2 linked regions of the Pelodiscus sinensis genome follow. The main gene of each other region encodes a partner of the protein of the gene in region 2 in a complex. Links are inferred from orthologs where the notes say so. Each region holds a gene or a part of one and is shown on either strand. Other genes may lie near its edges.

Region 1 (8,467 bases), on a different chromosome or scaffold from region 2:
GAATTTCAGTTCTCACAATATTTTTTTAATTCATCCTTTTAAAAATGGGGTATTAAGGAAATAAAATATCCTTAATATCCAGAACATCATTTATAATGTGTGGGGGAATGTTAAATTCTTTTTAACATGTTGTCTTTAAGGGCTGAAGACTAATAAATACATTATAATGGCAAAGCATTTGGAATTTTTGTTGTGGGGGTCTGAATTGCTTATGAGTAAGGAGAAAGAGCCTTATATTATAACCAGGGGAGATGTTAGTGGGTTGTAACTAGACAGTCAACGCAGCATGATAATGGGAGCATAGGATATTAGGGACAGAGAATCTTAGGTCACTGAATTTATGCTGTAACAAAGAAAGATCCTGAGATTACCCTAAAGTATGACCTCCTCATTCTTTTCTGAAGAATAAGAAGGGTGGTGGCACCTTTCCTAGGCTGAATTGAGGTGAAAGAACTTAATATTAACTGGCCAATGAACTAAACTAGTTGAATAAACTCAGCTGAAGACAGTATTCTTTGCACCTGAAGAGGTTATTGCTGTCAATATCTGGTTTAGCATATCAGCAAATTCTGGTTTTAGGTGCTTAGTTGGCAACTTCCACCAGTCTGATTGTTTTACTTTAAACTTCAATAGCAAACGTGCTTCTTGAATTATTTGTATTTAGTTTAAATGATTTTAATTTAGTAAATGTGTATGTCTTAATATAGGTTGAACATTTCAATTTTAATTTTCAATGGGTTTATTTTTTAAAAAGAAAAATGCATTTAAGTAAATACATCTGATTTCAATTTCAAAAGAATAAAAAAATGTTTAAATCACTTTTTATCCACTCTGACCCCTGGCCCTGTGAGAGATGAAAAGGAGGGAGGAGTCAGCCAGCCTCTGGCAAGGAGGGGGGATTGTTTTCTAGCTCTAGGCCCAAATGGGTTGGGACAATGCTCCTGGCACTGTGAGGATGGGGAAGACTGCTGTCCATGGTAGCAAAGGGAGGGGAGAGTTCCTGTTTGGGTAGAGACTACCTGTCCGGAGGGATGCAAAGGGACTGATATTACCCCTGGGGAGTTGCTCCTGGCTCTGGTGGTAGGACTCTGTGGGTTCCTTCCCCTGGTGGGGATAAGGCTGCTGCTCAAATTGGGAAGGGGGATGCTGCTCCTGACCCTTGTAGGATGGATACTGGACTATGATGGAGGGGTATCCTGGCCCCTGGAGGGAATAACTCCCTCCCTATGAGGGATGCCCCTAAGAATGTGTGGGACATCCCTACCCATGATGGGGATGGTGATCCCAACTGTGATGGGAATAGGGTGTCCCTCCACCTAGGGAGATGGGAGGGGGTCCCTGCCTATCATGGGAGTGATCTCCGCCCCAAACATATGGGCAGGGGAATTCCCAACTGTGCTGAGGGTGAGGGGGCAGAGAGGTCCCTGAGTGATGTGAGGGTCCCGGGCCCTGGAGGTGATGAGTGTGGAGGGCTTCCTGTCCATAATGGACGGGAGACTTCCTGCCATTGGCGGGGATGGGTGGGGGAGTACTTGTTCCCACAGAGAGGGGGGGTCCCTGCCCTAGTGGGTAGGGTGGGAGGTCCCTGTCTGTAATGAAGAATCCTGGAGGTGGCTGGCAGGGGAGGATGAATGGGAGTCCTTAACTGGGCCGGGGGTCCCATCCCTAGGGTGGGGGGGTCCCTACACCTGGCGAGGGGGTGTCCCTGCCCAGGATAGGGGGGCACTGCCCTGAGAAGTGGGACGCTGCCCAGGAAGGCGGGGGTTGTTGCCCAGGGAAAGGGGGGCACTGCCCCGGGGCGAGGGGCTGCCCTGGGGAAGGGGGTCTGTCCCGGGCGGGGGGGCTGCCCTGGGGAAGGGAGGGCTGTCCCAGGGGGGGGGCTGCCCTGGGGAAGGGGGGGCTGTCCCGGGCGGGGGGGGGCTGCCCTGGGGAGGGGGGGGGCTGTCCCGGGCGGGGGGGGGGGCTGCCCTGGGGAGGGGGGGCTGTCCCGGGAAGGGGGGGCTGCCCTGGGGAGGGGGGGGCTGTCCCAGGCGGGGGGGGCTGCCCTGGGGAAGGGGGGGCTGCCCTGGGGAAGGGGGGGCTGTCCCGGGCTGCCCTGGGGAGGGGGGGGGCTGTCCCGGGCGGGGGGGGGCTGCCCTGGGGGGGGGGCTGTCCTAGGGAAGGGGGGGCTGTCCCGGGCGGGGGGGCTGTCCCGGGCTGCCCTGGGGAGGGGGGGCTGTCCCGGGCGGGGGGGGGGCTGCCCTGGGGAAGGGGGGGCTGTCCTGGGGTGGGGGGGCTGCCCTGGGGAAGGGGGGGCTGCCCTGGGAGGGGGAGGCTGTCCCGGGCGGGGGGGGCTGTCCCGGGCTACCCTGGGGAGGGGGGGGGGCTGCCCTGGGAGGGGGGGGCTGTCCTGGGGAAGGGGGGGCTGTCCCAGGCGGGGGGGGCTGCCCTGGGGAGGGGGGGGCTGTCCCGGGCTGCCCTGGGAGGGGGGGGCTGTCCCGGGCGGGGGGGCTGCCCTGGGGAAGGGGGGGCTGTCCCGGGCTGCCCTGGGGAGGGGGGGCTGCCCTGGGAGGGGGGGGCTGTCCTGGGGAAGGGGGGGCTGCCCTGGGGAGGGGGGGGGGTGTCCCGGGCTGCCCTGGGAGGGGGGGGCTGTCCCGGGCGGGGGGGCTGTCCCGGGCTGCCCTGGGGAGGGGGGGGCTGTCCCGGGCGGGGGGGGCTGCCCTGGGCGGGGGGGGCTGCCCTGGGGAAGGGGGGGCTGTCCCGGGCTGCCCTGGGGAGGGGGGGGCTGCCCTGGGAGGGGGGGGCTGTCCTGGGGAAGGGGGGGCTGTCCCAGGCGGGGGGGGCTGCCCTGGGGAGGGGGAGGGGTGTCCCGGGCTGCCCTGGGAGGGGGGGGCTGTCCCGGGCGGGGGGGCTGCCCTGGGGAAGGGGGGGCTGTCCCAGGCGGGGGGGGCTGCCCTGGGGAGGGGGGGGGTGTCCCGGGCTGCCCTGGGAGGGGGGGGCTGTCCCGGGCGGGGGGGCTGCCCTGGGGAAGGGGGGGCTGTCCCGGGCTGCCCTGGGGAGGGGGGGGCTGCCCTGGGGAAGGGGGGGCTGTCCCGGGCTGCCCTGGGGAGGGGGGGGCTGTCCCGGGCGGGGGGGGCTGCCCTGGGAGGGGGGGCTGTCCCGGGCGGGGGGGGCTGCCCTGGGGAGGGGGGGGCTGCCCTGGGGAAGGGGGGGCTGTCCCGGGCTGCCCTGGGGAGGGGGGGCTGCCCTGGGAGGGGGGGGTCGCTGCGAATCGCAGCCGCCGCCTGAGGGGAGCGAGCCGCGCACGGGAACCAGCAACTTTACCCGTCGCCTCGCGCCCTTCTCGCCCGCTCCCGGCACGCGGCGCCGCCCCGCCCCGCCCCGCGGTCACGTGACGCCGGGCTGGGCGGGAAACGGGGCCGAGCGGCGGCGCCATTTTGTGAGAGGCAGAAACGAGGCGTTCTGGGGCGGGGAGGGGTGAGAACCCGGGAGAGGAGGTGTGAGGGGAGGGGCACGTGGAGGGGAAGGGCATGCGGGACGGGGGAGGGGCGAGCAGGTGTGAGGGGAGGGGCACGTGGAGGTGAGGGGTGAGGAGGTGTGAGGGGAGGGGCACGTGGAGGGGAAGGGCATGCGGGACGGGGGAGGGGCGAGCAGGTGTGAGGGGAGGGGCACGTGCAGGTGAGGGGTGAGGAGGTGTGAGGGGAGGGGCACGTGGAGGGGAAGGGCATGCAGGACGGGGAGGGGCGAGGAGGTGTGAGGGGAGAGGCAAGTGGAGGGGAGGGGCATGCAGGACGGGGAGGGGCAAGGAGGTGTGAGGGGAGAGGCAAGTGGAGGGGAGGGGCATGCGGGTCGGGGGAGGGGCAAGGAGGTGTGAGGGGAGAGGCAAGTGGAGGGGAGGGGCATACGGGTCGGGGGAGGGGTGAGGAGGTGTGAGGAGAGAGGCAAGTGGAGAGGAGGGTGGGAAGGGGAAGAGCTTGGAGGAGGGACATAGGGGCCAGGGGGGAGGGGAGAGAAGGCAGGAGAGGGAGGGAAGGGAGAAGTGGAGTGGGGGGTAATGGAGGGGGAGACGATGGGGAGGGGGCGGTGAGAGGAGGGCAGGATACATGCAAAGGTGGGAGGCTATGAGGGGACAGATGGCGGATGCGTGAGTGGGAGGAGAGACATGAGGGTGTTGAGAGGAGGAGGTGTTGTGGGAGGGGGAGGTGTGATGAAGAGAGGGGGAGAATTGTGAAGGGGAGCTTGGGAGAGACATATGGGAAGGTGCAGGTGGAGGAGTGAGAGTAAGTGTTTGGGGAGTGGGACCTGTGAGGGAGGAGTATGGAGACAGACTAGTTGTGGGGGGGTGGGGGGGAGGTAGGAACCATGCAAAAAGGAAGAAGCCCAAAGAAGGAAGGGGTTGGTTAGGGGTGGGGATGGAAATATGAGGGGGCTATAGAGGGAAATGTAAGGCGAGGGAGGAGGTTTATGAGACGGGAGGCAGAAAGTGTAACAGCACAGTTTGGAGAAAGTGTGAGAAAAGTGGAGAAAAAGCAGGTGAGACGGTGCTGTGACTGTTTCCTCACTCCTCCCTCCCTTCCCAAAGGTGGCTCATTTAGTTGTGAATTGAACATCTTTCTAAAGCTATAGCACATCACAAACCAGAAAAAAAAAGAAAAATGTGATGAATTTACCCCAATTTTAAGCAGGTGCACTGATTCTAATAATGGTTTTTGGACTTTTTACTCTGCATATGGTAGGGGTTTGCTCTTGGTAGGACATTTTACTCTGCGTATGGTAGGGGTTTGCAACTACACTCTTGGCTAAAAAGGAAGCAGATCACTAGTCCAGGCAAGGCTATAGAGAGGAAGACTCCTCTGTTGTGGGCATGTGATTCCAATGTCTCATGGTGTTACAGAGTAAAGTGTTGCAGGAGATGAGGAGAGTTGTACCATGCCTAACCATGATTGCCAACAAGTGTGGTTAACTGACATGGTAATGAAACTGAGCCTGAAACAGGACTACCCCAGTGCCTTGTGTAGTTATGAACAGTAGTGCAAAGGATAAATAAAATGCTATCACATAAAAATGATACCTCTTTCTACAAAGTGACATAGGGTTACATAGCTACATGGGGTGTAAGGGTGTGGGAAGCCAAGCCTAATGTTTTTATTCATGATCAGAGTTATTAACCTTTGTGTGCTAATGTAATTTTCATTGGGGTGTTACAATTCTATCTACTAAAACTCTTTTTGCAGTTTCATTTGAAGAAATAGCTGGTGTATTCTATCCCATAGAGGTTGCATTTCAGTAGAAAGCTGTGTGCATACTAATCAGTGAGCTAAAACTGGCATTAAATTGGTATTCAATATTACATGTTTGACAAGTGATCACAGCTTTGGTTTTATATTTTCAACAGCTAGCCCTTCATACTGTAAATTTCTCTAATGTACTTTGGTTTTCAGCTTAAAACATTCAGGCTGAAACATCACCAGGAGAGATGTGAACTTCCACCATTTACCTTAATACAGTATTAAGTTAATTTAATTTATTTCAGTTAAAATTCAAATGCTAATCATGACCAGTCAAATAAAGAACAATGTTAAATGTATCAGCATTTGAACAAACACATCAAGTTACTGCACTTACTATAACAGGGCCTATTATAGTCTACCATTTCCATGGTTATGGAAACATTCCATGTCAATAAAGCTGCAAGTTTAGAACAGGAAAATAATCAAATATCCTTTTGATTATGTAATTGTGACATTTGCTGCTATCCATTGCAATTAAATAAACGTAGATTTCAAAGTACTATTAGCAGAATAGATCTGGGATTGCCATGATGAGGTTGGCAAGATTATGTGGCATTTTTATATAAAATCCATTTTGAACTGATATAAATGACTACACAAGGTGAAGGGTTGTCCTGATTCAGATCCGGTTTCGTTACTGTGTCAGCTAACCACAATTGCTGGCAATCATGTTCAGACATGGTACAACTCTGTCAAGTAGGTTAGGATGAGAGTGACTCCCCTGAACTTGAGAATGCATGGAGAGGCCCCAGGCTTCCTATCTCTAGCTCAGGTAATCAAGCTGAAAGCCTTAAAAAGTGGCTAGACAGATTTCAGGAGAAAGCAGATGACAGCTTACTCTGGAAGCTGGGAAGAGAGCTTTGGAAATATGGCATGTCCTGTTCATGGTTTTTTTTTTAATGTTTTTGTTTGATTTGGTGTTTAAAGCCTGTTCATCTGAACAAAGGGAAAGTGGCCAGAGATGTTATTAACCTGCTTTAGTATTGGCTCCACCAGAAAACATGCCCATAAACTTGCAACTCAAAAAAAGTCCAGGTTTTTTGAACCATATGAACCCTGCCTCTAATATACTACATACAAAACTATGTGTGTAAGACAGATCTCAATAATTACATTTTATGTTTATATAGAGAGAGATATTCAGGACAGAGAATATCTAATTTAAAAATATATATCATTTAAATGTTTTTCCTGTCAAGTTAGAAATTAGAGGCCAAATTTATTTCTAGTTCGGCTCCAAACCGGACCTGAATTTGTCTCTATCTATATTTAAAATGTTCCTTTTTTTCTGATGTAACCAGTGCTAGAGATGTAAAATTCCAATGAACCAGGTAACCCATTAAATGGTAGGTTAACCTAATGTTTAACTGGTTAAGTGACTAAGAAGGATCCCAGGAGGGAGAATCGTTCTGGCACGGGACTATAGGTAGGGCTGCTCCCAGGGAACCAGTTAATTGTTACCTGATAGCATCACTGAGGAAGGGTAATGCTTATTGGGTAACCAGTTACCCCTTCACATGCCTAATAACCAGTGAGATTATTAAAACCAGTGCTTTTTTTGTGCTGGTAGTGCCCACAATGGCGTACTGTCACCTATTTTCCCAGCCCACAGAAAAAGAATGGGATTTTCCCTGAACATACTGGCACCTGTTTCCTGGGGCAGCTCGGCTCCTGACGGAAGCCTTCTTGGGACGCGCGGCATTTTTTTCCCCCGGCTCCCAATGCAGCACTATGGCTCTTAAAGGGGCCGTGACCACATTTCAGCCCCCGACATGAGGCTGGTTTTTTTGCTCAACAAGTTTGCCCCAGAGTACCTACACCTTTTCCCTTACAAAAAAAGCACTGATTAAAATTCAAGAGATTTTAAATGTCTTGTTTGACATCAATCATTACGTTGTTAGTTTTCTTTCTGTACTTCATTTGGATTGGAACAAAGTCAATCAGTTACCTTCTAGCGGTTGATTCTCATTTTTTAGCAAAATGCTGTCATATTTGATTTGCATACTTACAAAAAAATGTTTGAGTTCAAAAGACATTTTAATGGGCATTTTCTGCGTGTGGGTGTGTGTACTGAACCTTCAACCGATGGAGCTCATATTCTATGACACCGTTGGTGAGCGACTAAGCCAATGCTTGTTTGGCAAATCTGATTATAGAGGTCACATCAAAATCTGCCCTCTGTAGATGTTGTGAACTCTTCAGATCCTGCACTTTTCCTGTAATGTCTGGATACATTGACTCTTGAAGTGTTTGAGAGCCTGTTCAATAGTTTACTGCCAGAATAGTCTATCCTGAGCTATGATTTCCAGGTCATCGGGAGATACAGCACTTGACTTCACATTGGCCTTTAAAATATCTTTATAATGCTTATAATAACCACCAATAACAGAGTGCTTTCTATGAACAAGCTGGTCATAGAAGACCATCTTCAGCATCCATATATCATCTGTTCTCATGACATCACCATGAAACTGTTTTGTTCATAAACATTGCTTCCATGCCCATGACATCACACAGCCTGAGGACCTCTTTGTTAGGAATTTTGTCCCACCAATCTTCCTGAGGTAGCACACAGGGGCAGATGACCGTTTTGCAGGGCCCTGGGCAGCATAATTCCGTGGAGCCCCCCCTTTGCCACGGCGCATGCGCAGTGACGCTATGCGCATGCGCAGCGGTGCCACGGCGCATGCGCGGGGCTTTCTGAAGCGCGGGGCCCGGGGCAGCCGCCCCGTTCGCCCTGCCCTATATCCGTCCCTGGCAGCACATATGAAATTGATCGAGATTCAAAATGTGACAGTGATATATGGTCAATGACTCTGAGTGATACAGCAGGCTATTCAGGACAACTGCCTGATAAACTTCATACAAAAGTAACAATTTATCACTGTGGTCATTCCATAAGCACTTGGTCAGTATTCTGAAGGCAGCACTGGCTGTGGCTAGTCAAGCAGATACATCATTATTATCATCATACACAGGGCTTGGCGAGCCGCGCAAGCCCTGCTCACCAGCCGTGCTGTCGAAGAAGAGCCGAACCCGGCTCTTCCAGGTTGTAATCTACTCGCCACAGGCGAGTAGATTACATAGATTGTCAAGCCCTGATCATATATATATTTCCAGTGAATAAGAAGAAATGTTTTTATATATATTCACATATGCTGTATATATGAAAGTAGTTTTTCTCATTAGATTTTGTA
Region 2 (7,972 bases):
CACATAGAGACCGACGGGGCAGCATGGGTCACATGCTCCCGGAGACGTGCCCCGCTCAGGAAGCAAGTGGCTGCATTCTGCACCAGTGCCAGCCTCCGGCCAGCTCTAACAGACATCCCACACAGGGCTCATTGCAATAGTCTGAAACTGGTGCCAGGCCTGGAGAACAGCACCAAGGGTGGGACGTGAGAGGGAAGGTGCCACCCTCCGGCCAGGCACTGAAGGTGTATGGCTGTATGGGTTACAGCTGTGACTGCATCTCCCACCGCTGCTGCGGCCTAGAACCACCCCTGGAATTCCTTGTTGCTTGGCTTTGCATAGCAAAGGAGTAGGAGACAAGCAGCTCTGTGCTGGCTCTATGCCCCGGCCCCTCAGCCGTGCCACACTTGCAGCCCACATCAGCTCAGTGGGAGAGGAGCACGTAGTGCCTCCCGTCAGACCCGCTGCTGACTGAGCCATACAACCACCTCTCCCCAGGCCGGCAGCTCTCAGATGTCCATGCTTCAGGAGCCAAATTACCCGAGAGCTGCAGCAGCGTGAACTCACTGCACAAGTCACACAGCAAAGTGACCGACCAATGCCAGTCGGTTACTGACACTGTAGAAACATCCCGACTAACAACGAAACCACACGCATTTTAATACCACGGCTGCCCCGAGCCGCTGGGGCATGTTAGGGAGTGGCAGCCCGCGTATCACTGACCTGAATCCAAAAGCCTGTTTCCAGGGACTCTTTGCACTGTGAGGTCCTGGGAAGCCAGCCTGTAATGCTCTGCACCCCCAGGAGACCATGCAGCAGGTATTTCCTTGCAAGGCTGGTCCCAGAGGGCGGTGGCAGCAGGTGTGTGGCGCTGGCACATGCCTACCTGTTCTAGGCAGCTCCGACACGTTTCCTGGATGAGCTGCTCTGGATCCACGTCCTCCCCGACGTTCTCTCTCACGTTACCTGCTGCCTTCTGGAAAAACTGGGAAGGGGCCCAAGGAGAGAGTTAGCATGACGCTGGCTGCTCTCAGCTCTTTCCACAGAAGGCTGCCTCCTTGGGACAAGGCTGTTCTCTGCACAGACAAAAGCAGGGTCTGGCAATTCCAGGGTCCACCTCTGCTCATGCCACAACCTAATACCATCAGGGTCAGCACTGAGAACACGGGACGTAGTCCCATTCGGAAGCTCCATATCCTTTGGGAGAAGACTCCATGCTCTCTGGTCCCTCAGTGCCCTCCAGCAGAACTCACTTTTACAGTTCTGTGGATTTCAGACCAGGAGTCCTGGAGTGGGACCCTTTCAGGGTTAGGCAGAGCAGCCTTCACCTGCCCCTCTTATTCAGTTCACAGGGTTGGGTTGTGTATGTGACTTGGCCTATGGGGCAGGGCTTTCACAGTGGCAGCACCTTCCAGCACAGGCTAGAGGCAGGGGAAGGATGATGTCCGTCCAAGAAATTTCCCTCTTCCTGTGAGCTTTACCTTCATGTATTTATTGAAGACAGTCTGGATCTCCTCATTAATACTAGGCTGCAGAACAGCTCGCAGCAAATCCATGGAGACAGCAGGGTCTGTAAAGCTGAATGAGAGAGAAATGACTCCACCTGGCTTTCCTGCCACACCTAGCACACCACCCAGACAGTCCCCAAAGCCCCACGCGGCAGTGCTCTCCCGAATGCTCTCACCCACGTGAGTGTCCGCCAGAGTTTACAGGCGTCTGCAAAGGACACAACACAGGCTGCAAGCTGATTTCCACTCCAAAGCCAGCAGCGGAATTACCCACTGATTCCAACTCTAAGTCTCCCAGCAGAGGAGAACACAAAGTGCCTCTGGCTCCAAGTGTCAGCCCGAGAGGAGTGTGGTTTGCACGCAAGTGATGTAAACACACAACTGGGTTCAACAAAGAACGAGATCGGTTCCCAGAGCACAGGCCGATCTCTGGCTATTAGCCGAGATGATCCTAACCCTCGTAACTGCCAGAAGCTGGGCCTGGATGACAGGGATGGATCACTCGATACATTGGCCTGTTCTGTTCACTGCCTCGGATACATCTGGCACTGGCCACAAGCTGAAAGCCAGGACACTTGGGCAGACAGATCTTTGGCTTGGCCCAGTATGAGCATTCTGATGAATCCCCCACTTCACCAGGATCAAACAACCTGCCACGGCCCCTAGAACGCCGGATATCTCACAGTGTGGCCTCAACCCCTTAGCAGCTAGGGAGCATTTCCAGCCCCAAAGAATATCAGTTCCGTGGGTAGCGAGCCCCACTATACAGATCGAGCGCCCCACATTGTGGCTGGCCCAGGGAGCGGGTGGCAGAGGCAGGACCAGACTTCACACGGAGCCTTTCTCTGGCCCCGGCATGGCCCTGGCAGGAGCCTTGCCCGCTGGGATCACACAGCGGGTGTCAGAGGAGACTTGTGCTGCTGGGAGCGCGGCCAGGGCAGCTGTTACCTCGTGGCCATCTGGGAGCGTCGCCCGCGCCGCTGCACCTGCCGGTGCTTGATCATGATGTTCCAGGGGCTCTGCGGGAGGAGAGGCAGGGTGAGCTCGCAGGGCTCGCCAGGCAACCCCCCCCGCCTCCCCCGGGGGGCTCGCCAGGCAACCCCCCCCGCCTCCCCCGGGGGGCTCGCCAGGCAACCCCCCCCGCCTCCCCCGGGGGGCTCGCCAGGCAACCCCCCCCGCCTCCCCCGGGGGGCTCGCCAGGCAACCCCCCCCGCCTCCCCCCGGGGGGGGGCTCGCCAGGCAACCCCCCCCGCCACCCCCTGGGGGCTCGCCAGGCAACCCCCCCCCGCCACCCCCCGGGGCTCGCCAGGCGGCCCCTCCGCCCGCGCTCACCGGCTGCCCATCCCCCTCCTCGAGGCCCCCTTCCCCCGGCGCCTGCTGCTCCGGGTCCCGGGCCGCCCCCATCGCGGATCCCGCAGCGCCCCCGGCCCGCCGCACCCGGAAGCAGCCGAACGGGCCTGACGTCATCACGCCTGCGACGCCGCTCCAGGAGGAAGCGCGACGGCTGCTATGGCAACCGGCCGCCATCTTGTTCTGCGAGGGGCGGGGCGGGCTCCTCCCCACGGGCACGCGCCGGGCCGGAGCCGCGCGCTGCCGCCGCGACGTGCCCCCCCCCCCCCCCCCGCCCGAGCCACACCCCGCTGGCCCGCCCCCGGGGGCCGCGCGCTCCCACGTGCCCCTGCGGCTGCCTGAGCCCCGGGCCGCCCCGTGGCCCCAGACCCTGCACGAGGGCCCGGCCCGGCCTCAGCCGCCGTGGGGGGGGCCCGGCCTGGGGGGGGCCCGGCCCGGCCTCAGCCGCCGTGGGGGGGGCCCTGCCGGGGGGGGCCCGGCCCGGCCTCAGCCGCCGTGGGGGGGGCCCTGCCTGGGGGGGCCCGGCCCGGCCTCAGCCGCCGTGGGGGGGGCCCTGCCTGGGGGGGCCCGGCCCGGCCTCAGCCGCCGTGGGGGGGGCCCTGCCTGGGGGCCCCGGCCCGGCCTCAGCCGCCGTGGGGGGGGCCCTGCCTGGGGGGGCCCGGCCCGGCCCTTCCCCCCCCGCTCCGCGCCTGCGTCTTGTCTCAGGCCCCAAGGGGCAGAGCCGCGGGGGGGGGCAATGGCTGCCCCAGCGTGGGAGGAGGGAGGCTGCCCTGGCAGGGCCCTGGGCCGTGGTCCCCAGCGTGGCGCCCGTGGGTGTTTGTGTCCCCGTGGAATGGTGTGGGCGGCCCTGCCCACGGCGTGTGCGGTGCTGGCTCCTGGACCATGGCGCGTGGGCGGCCCCGCCACCCGGCACGTGGCCCGGGCACGGCCGCCCCCCCAGCCCGGCAACCCCCCACTGCCCTAGGGTGACACGCTCCAGTCCAGTCCGTTCCTTCTGGCAGTCTGATGACCTTGGGCCTGTCCCTGTGCTCAGGCGGTGCCGCAGTCAGGGTCCCAGCTAGTGCGTCATGTTGGGGAGCGGGGTTTGATGAAGCGCTCGCTTTCGTTTTCTGCATAGCCAAGCCCACTTGTTTCCATTTACTCGACAGGAAGTTTAGGGGGCACAGGTACTCCTGCGACTGCAAGCTGCCCAGACCATGCAGATCCTGTGCTTGGGTGAGTCCTCCTCATTAGACGTTTATTCACCTGCCTGCGCTTTCTTTCTCTCGTCTTTGGCAGCACCATGCCAAGAGGGTGTAGAGTGAGCTCCCAACAGGCTGTGTGGCCCAGCAAGGGGAGAGACTGACAGTGCATCTGATCAGTACAATGTGAAATAGAATTCCCTGTGAGGACGTGAATTCAGTTGCTTATTTTTATGTTCCAGGAGAATGTTATTACTTGTCTGCGTAGCTGTAACTTGGAAGGGAGTGAAATTTATTCTTAAAACCAAATGAAGTCTTCGCCTCTCCTCTAATAGTGTCCTCTGTTATGACTCTTTTTGCATCCTGTCGGTGCCAATAATACGCTACAGACATGGGGAGACACAGCCTCTGCCCCAAGTGTCTCTGAAAGAAAGACGCAAGATGATTTTGTGGTTAAGAAGATTTAAGTTCTGTTCCTGGCTGTTCAACAGACTCAATTTGAGACCTCGGGCAAGTTGCTTAATCTCACCTAGGCTCGGTATCCCCAACTGGAAAATGGGGATAATATTTTTCTAGCTCCAGGGAGGTTGTAAGATGAATACATTAACGTTTGTGATGTATTCAGGGCTCTACACTATGAAACGCTTAGTGCGAGGTCTGTGTGGCCTGTTAGTGCCTGACAGGCTGTGCTGTAGATTTGCACCCTGGCCTGCCATTTGCTCAGGTGCATCTACATTTGGAGCTGCAGTGATAGTTCTCAACTCAAGGAAACATACCTATGCTTGCTCTGATGGAGCTTGCATACTAAAAATAGAGTGTTGCTGAAGCTGCGTGACTGGCAGGAAGGGCTGGCGGCCCTGAGTGAGATCCCTCCAGGACACACGGTGCATATTCTGAGTAGCTAGCTCCACTCACCGTGTGTTCCGCTCTGGCTACACTCTTGTTTAAGTACACTAACTCACTTTGAGCTAGCCTAGGGCTGGCTCCATGAACTGGGGAATTTACACTTCTAGCTCAAAGCATAGACTCAGTCTCCATGTAAACAAGACGCACGATGCAATTCCTTGCTCAGCCACAGACTTCCTGTGTGATGTGGAGCAGGTCACAGTCTCTGTGCTTTAATTGCCTGAAGTTTCTTTCAAATAAACTCATGGCATCTCAGAGAAACAGCAGTCACTTTTCTGCAGCTCCTCTGAAAGCTCAGCAAAAGGACTCAGGGACAAGGTGTCTCACAGAGCTGGAGAAGGTGTACTGGACCCTTTGAGCACCAGTAAGTGCAGGAGGTATATAAGTAGGCAGGCATAGAACTAACAAGAAATCCTCCCAAGGTGACCTCGGTTCCAGCCCCAGTGGAAACAGCTCCTGTTATAAGGAATTCAGAAGCGGATTTATCAGTGGCTTTTCCTGGATATAAGCAGCGAGGAGTCCTGTGGCACCTTATAGACATCTGACGAAGTGGGTCTTTGCCCACGAAAGCTTATGCTCCTACACTTCAGTTAGTCTATAAGGCGCCACAGGACTCCTCGCTGCTTTTGCAGATTCAGACTAACACTGCTACCCCTCTGATACCTGGATATAAGTCTCTCTTGAGAATACCGGTGTGTGTGTGTGTGTGGGGGGGGGGACGGGACGGCACGGCACGGCAGTAGACTACTCAGAACCCTGATTCTCTCCTTTCTAGCTCTTTGTTGCCTGTGGCTTCTCCTGCAAAGAACAGCTGTGGCAGCTGGGTCTGTAAGAGCCCAGTGTGGGGAAACTGCACTCCTACCATGTCCCACTGCTGCTGGAGGGATGCACAACTACTGGGCCATTGGCTGGTACAAGGTAACTGTTTTATTAACCGTCCTGGAAAGTCGCAACCTTTCTGAGCAGCAGCAAATTTCATTATGAGCTTCTCGTGGCCAGCAAACCAGGGGTCCTGTCCTCCCTACCTTATTTCACGTGCCATGACTTGTGGGGTGGGCAGGCACAGACCCAGAGGGGTGTGACAGTGCTGCTTTCTGTCTTACTCCTGGAGGAAGTGGTAGTTTCTCCAGACAGCTGCTATGGACTCTCCCTTCAGCAACAGGAAAGTCTGCCTCTTCATGTCCAGCTTCCAGGTTTGAGACCATTTTAGCGGGTTGTCGCCAATTGGGCTGCACCTGTTTCCCATGAAAGAAACATTGAGCTTTGCTAGCAGGGGACTCAGTACCTAATTTATACATGCAAACGGGGCATTGGTGTGCATAAAACGGGGTCACCCACATTAATGCCACGGCTGCTCATGCCAATGTTTGCACAAGTAGAAGTCAGATGTTTGGGATCGGTGGCAGCATAGTCCACAGCTTGTCGCTGATCGCTGTTGACGTGCTCACAGGGCTTCTGTTGGGGCATTGCAGGTAGCCAACGAGAGTCATGAAATGGGGCTGATCCGGAGACATGAGAATAGCACCCGCCTGTATTCAGGGACCCAGCGGGAGTTCCTGATGGATGAGCAGCAATCCTTGGTCATTCCTGAGGTCCAGCCGGAGGACTCTGGCGCCTACCGCTGTTCCCTGTGGGCCAGAGTTGGGCATTTCAATCAGCAGGCAGACATCATCCTGCAGGTAGCAGGTGAGGCGGCAGCGCAGTGTTTGGATCACAGTCAGACTTCACGGGGATACAAAAGGGTTTAGACAAAAGACGTTGTGCCCTCCCCCAGCCAAAGGCAATGGGCCACGCAAATGAGTGAGACTCGGATTGATCACAAGGTGCAGGGGCAGAAAGGAGGTTCATTGTAGTTCCCAGGGCTGGACAGCCTTTCACCTCAGCAGTACAGAGCTGTGCTCTCCAGCAAGGTCCTGTGATTCGGGGACTCTTCAGTCCTCTTCTGCTCCCCCTCTTGCAGTTGGGCGGGGGAGGAGGGATTTGAACTGTGATACCACTTGAGCATGCAGCTTGTTGCTCCCTCATGCCTGACCAGGCTCCAGAACTCTGCTCACTTGCTCCTGGATGCTGCCTCTACTCTGTCCCTGAACCTGGTCCCCTGAAGGTCCCCCACAGGTGGGAGGCCTTGCTCTCCTGCATAGCTATGCAGAACCAGGGAACAGTCTCGCCCTGTGCTAGTGAGATCAAGGTGCTGCTAGATTCAGCACTCCGTAAGGAAACGGTTGTTTGAATTCTAGAGCTTCTAACGCACAAAAAGCATTCACAGAGGTTCCAGACTGTTCCCATGTGCACAAGTGGGAAAAGGGTGCAGGCGGCAAGCCTGTGACTGGCTCCTGGCACTGCAGGATTGTGCCCTCCCAGGGAAGGGCCCTTGGACTCCTTTGTGGGACTGTCCCCCGAGCGGCCAAGTGCAGCCCTGGTGTAAGTGAGTGCCACGTCATGGAAATCAGTGAGTCACATCTGCTCAGGGCTGAATTTGGCCCCGTGTCTTTGTTTGTTGCATGACTAACTTGTGAAAGTGCCCTGGGGCAGGCGGAAGGAGTTGGATTTGGGTTCCAAGATGTCATTTCCCCAGAAGACACATGCAGCCAAGCTTGCATCAGAAATCTCCGTACCACTTTCTAGTCACCAGTGACGCAGCACAACAAATACCTGATTCATTTGAAAATCCAGGTGGGAATCCAGGGAGTCAGGATGGAATTCCCTGCTTTGGAATTTGGCCAAGAAGCCAAGGCAAACACCCCTTCTCTTAAGAAAAGGGTCCAGGGAAGAAGGAAAATCCAGGGAACTATAAACCCATCAGCCTTACCTCAGTCCCCAGAAAAATCATGGAGGGGAGCCTCAAGGAATCCATTTTGAAGCACATGGAAGAGGGGAAAGTGATCAGGAACAGTCAGCATGGATTCACCAAGGGCAAGTCGTGCCTGACCAACCTGATTAGCTTCTCTGACAAGGTAACTGGCTCTGTGGACATGGGGAAGTCAGTGAATGTGATAGACCTTGACTTGAGCAAAGCTTTTGATACGGTCTCCCACAAGTGAAGGAAGT

The links. Proteins that work in one complex are often made in the same cells at the same time.
Region 1: DNTTIP1 (region 2) and ZNF541 share a complex: the UniProt entries of both Homo sapiens proteins name them as parts of the histone deacetylase complex. The link is inferred for Pelodiscus sinensis from reciprocal best matches to the Homo sapiens genes DNTTIP1 and ZNF541.

Annotation. Positions count from the first base shown.
Region 1 is NW_027465999.1:198,824-207,290, reverse strand, and holds the start of ZNF541 (zinc finger protein 541), read right to left. Parts: upstream 3,390-8,467; 5' UTR 3,304-3,389; intron 1-3,303. UniProt on the Homo sapiens protein: Transcription regulator which is essential for male fertility and for the completion of meiotic prophase in spermatocytes.
Region 2 is NC_134728.1:12,356-20,327, forward strand, and holds the start of DNTTIP1 (deoxynucleotidyltransferase terminal-interacting protein 1), read right to left. Parts: upstream 3,030-7,972; 5' UTR 3,015-3,029; coding exon 2,820-3,014; intron 2,507-2,819; coding exon 2,436-2,506; intron 1,558-2,435; coding exon 1,461-1,557; intron 965-1,460; coding exon 866-964; intron 1-865. Other genes in the region: uncharacterized protein LOC102461217, read left to right, coding at 4,034-4,052, 5,700-5,842, 6,397-6,610. UniProt on the Homo sapiens protein: Increases DNTT terminal deoxynucleotidyltransferase activity (in vitro). Also acts as a transcriptional regulator, binding to the consensus sequence 5'-GNTGCATG-3' following an AT-tract.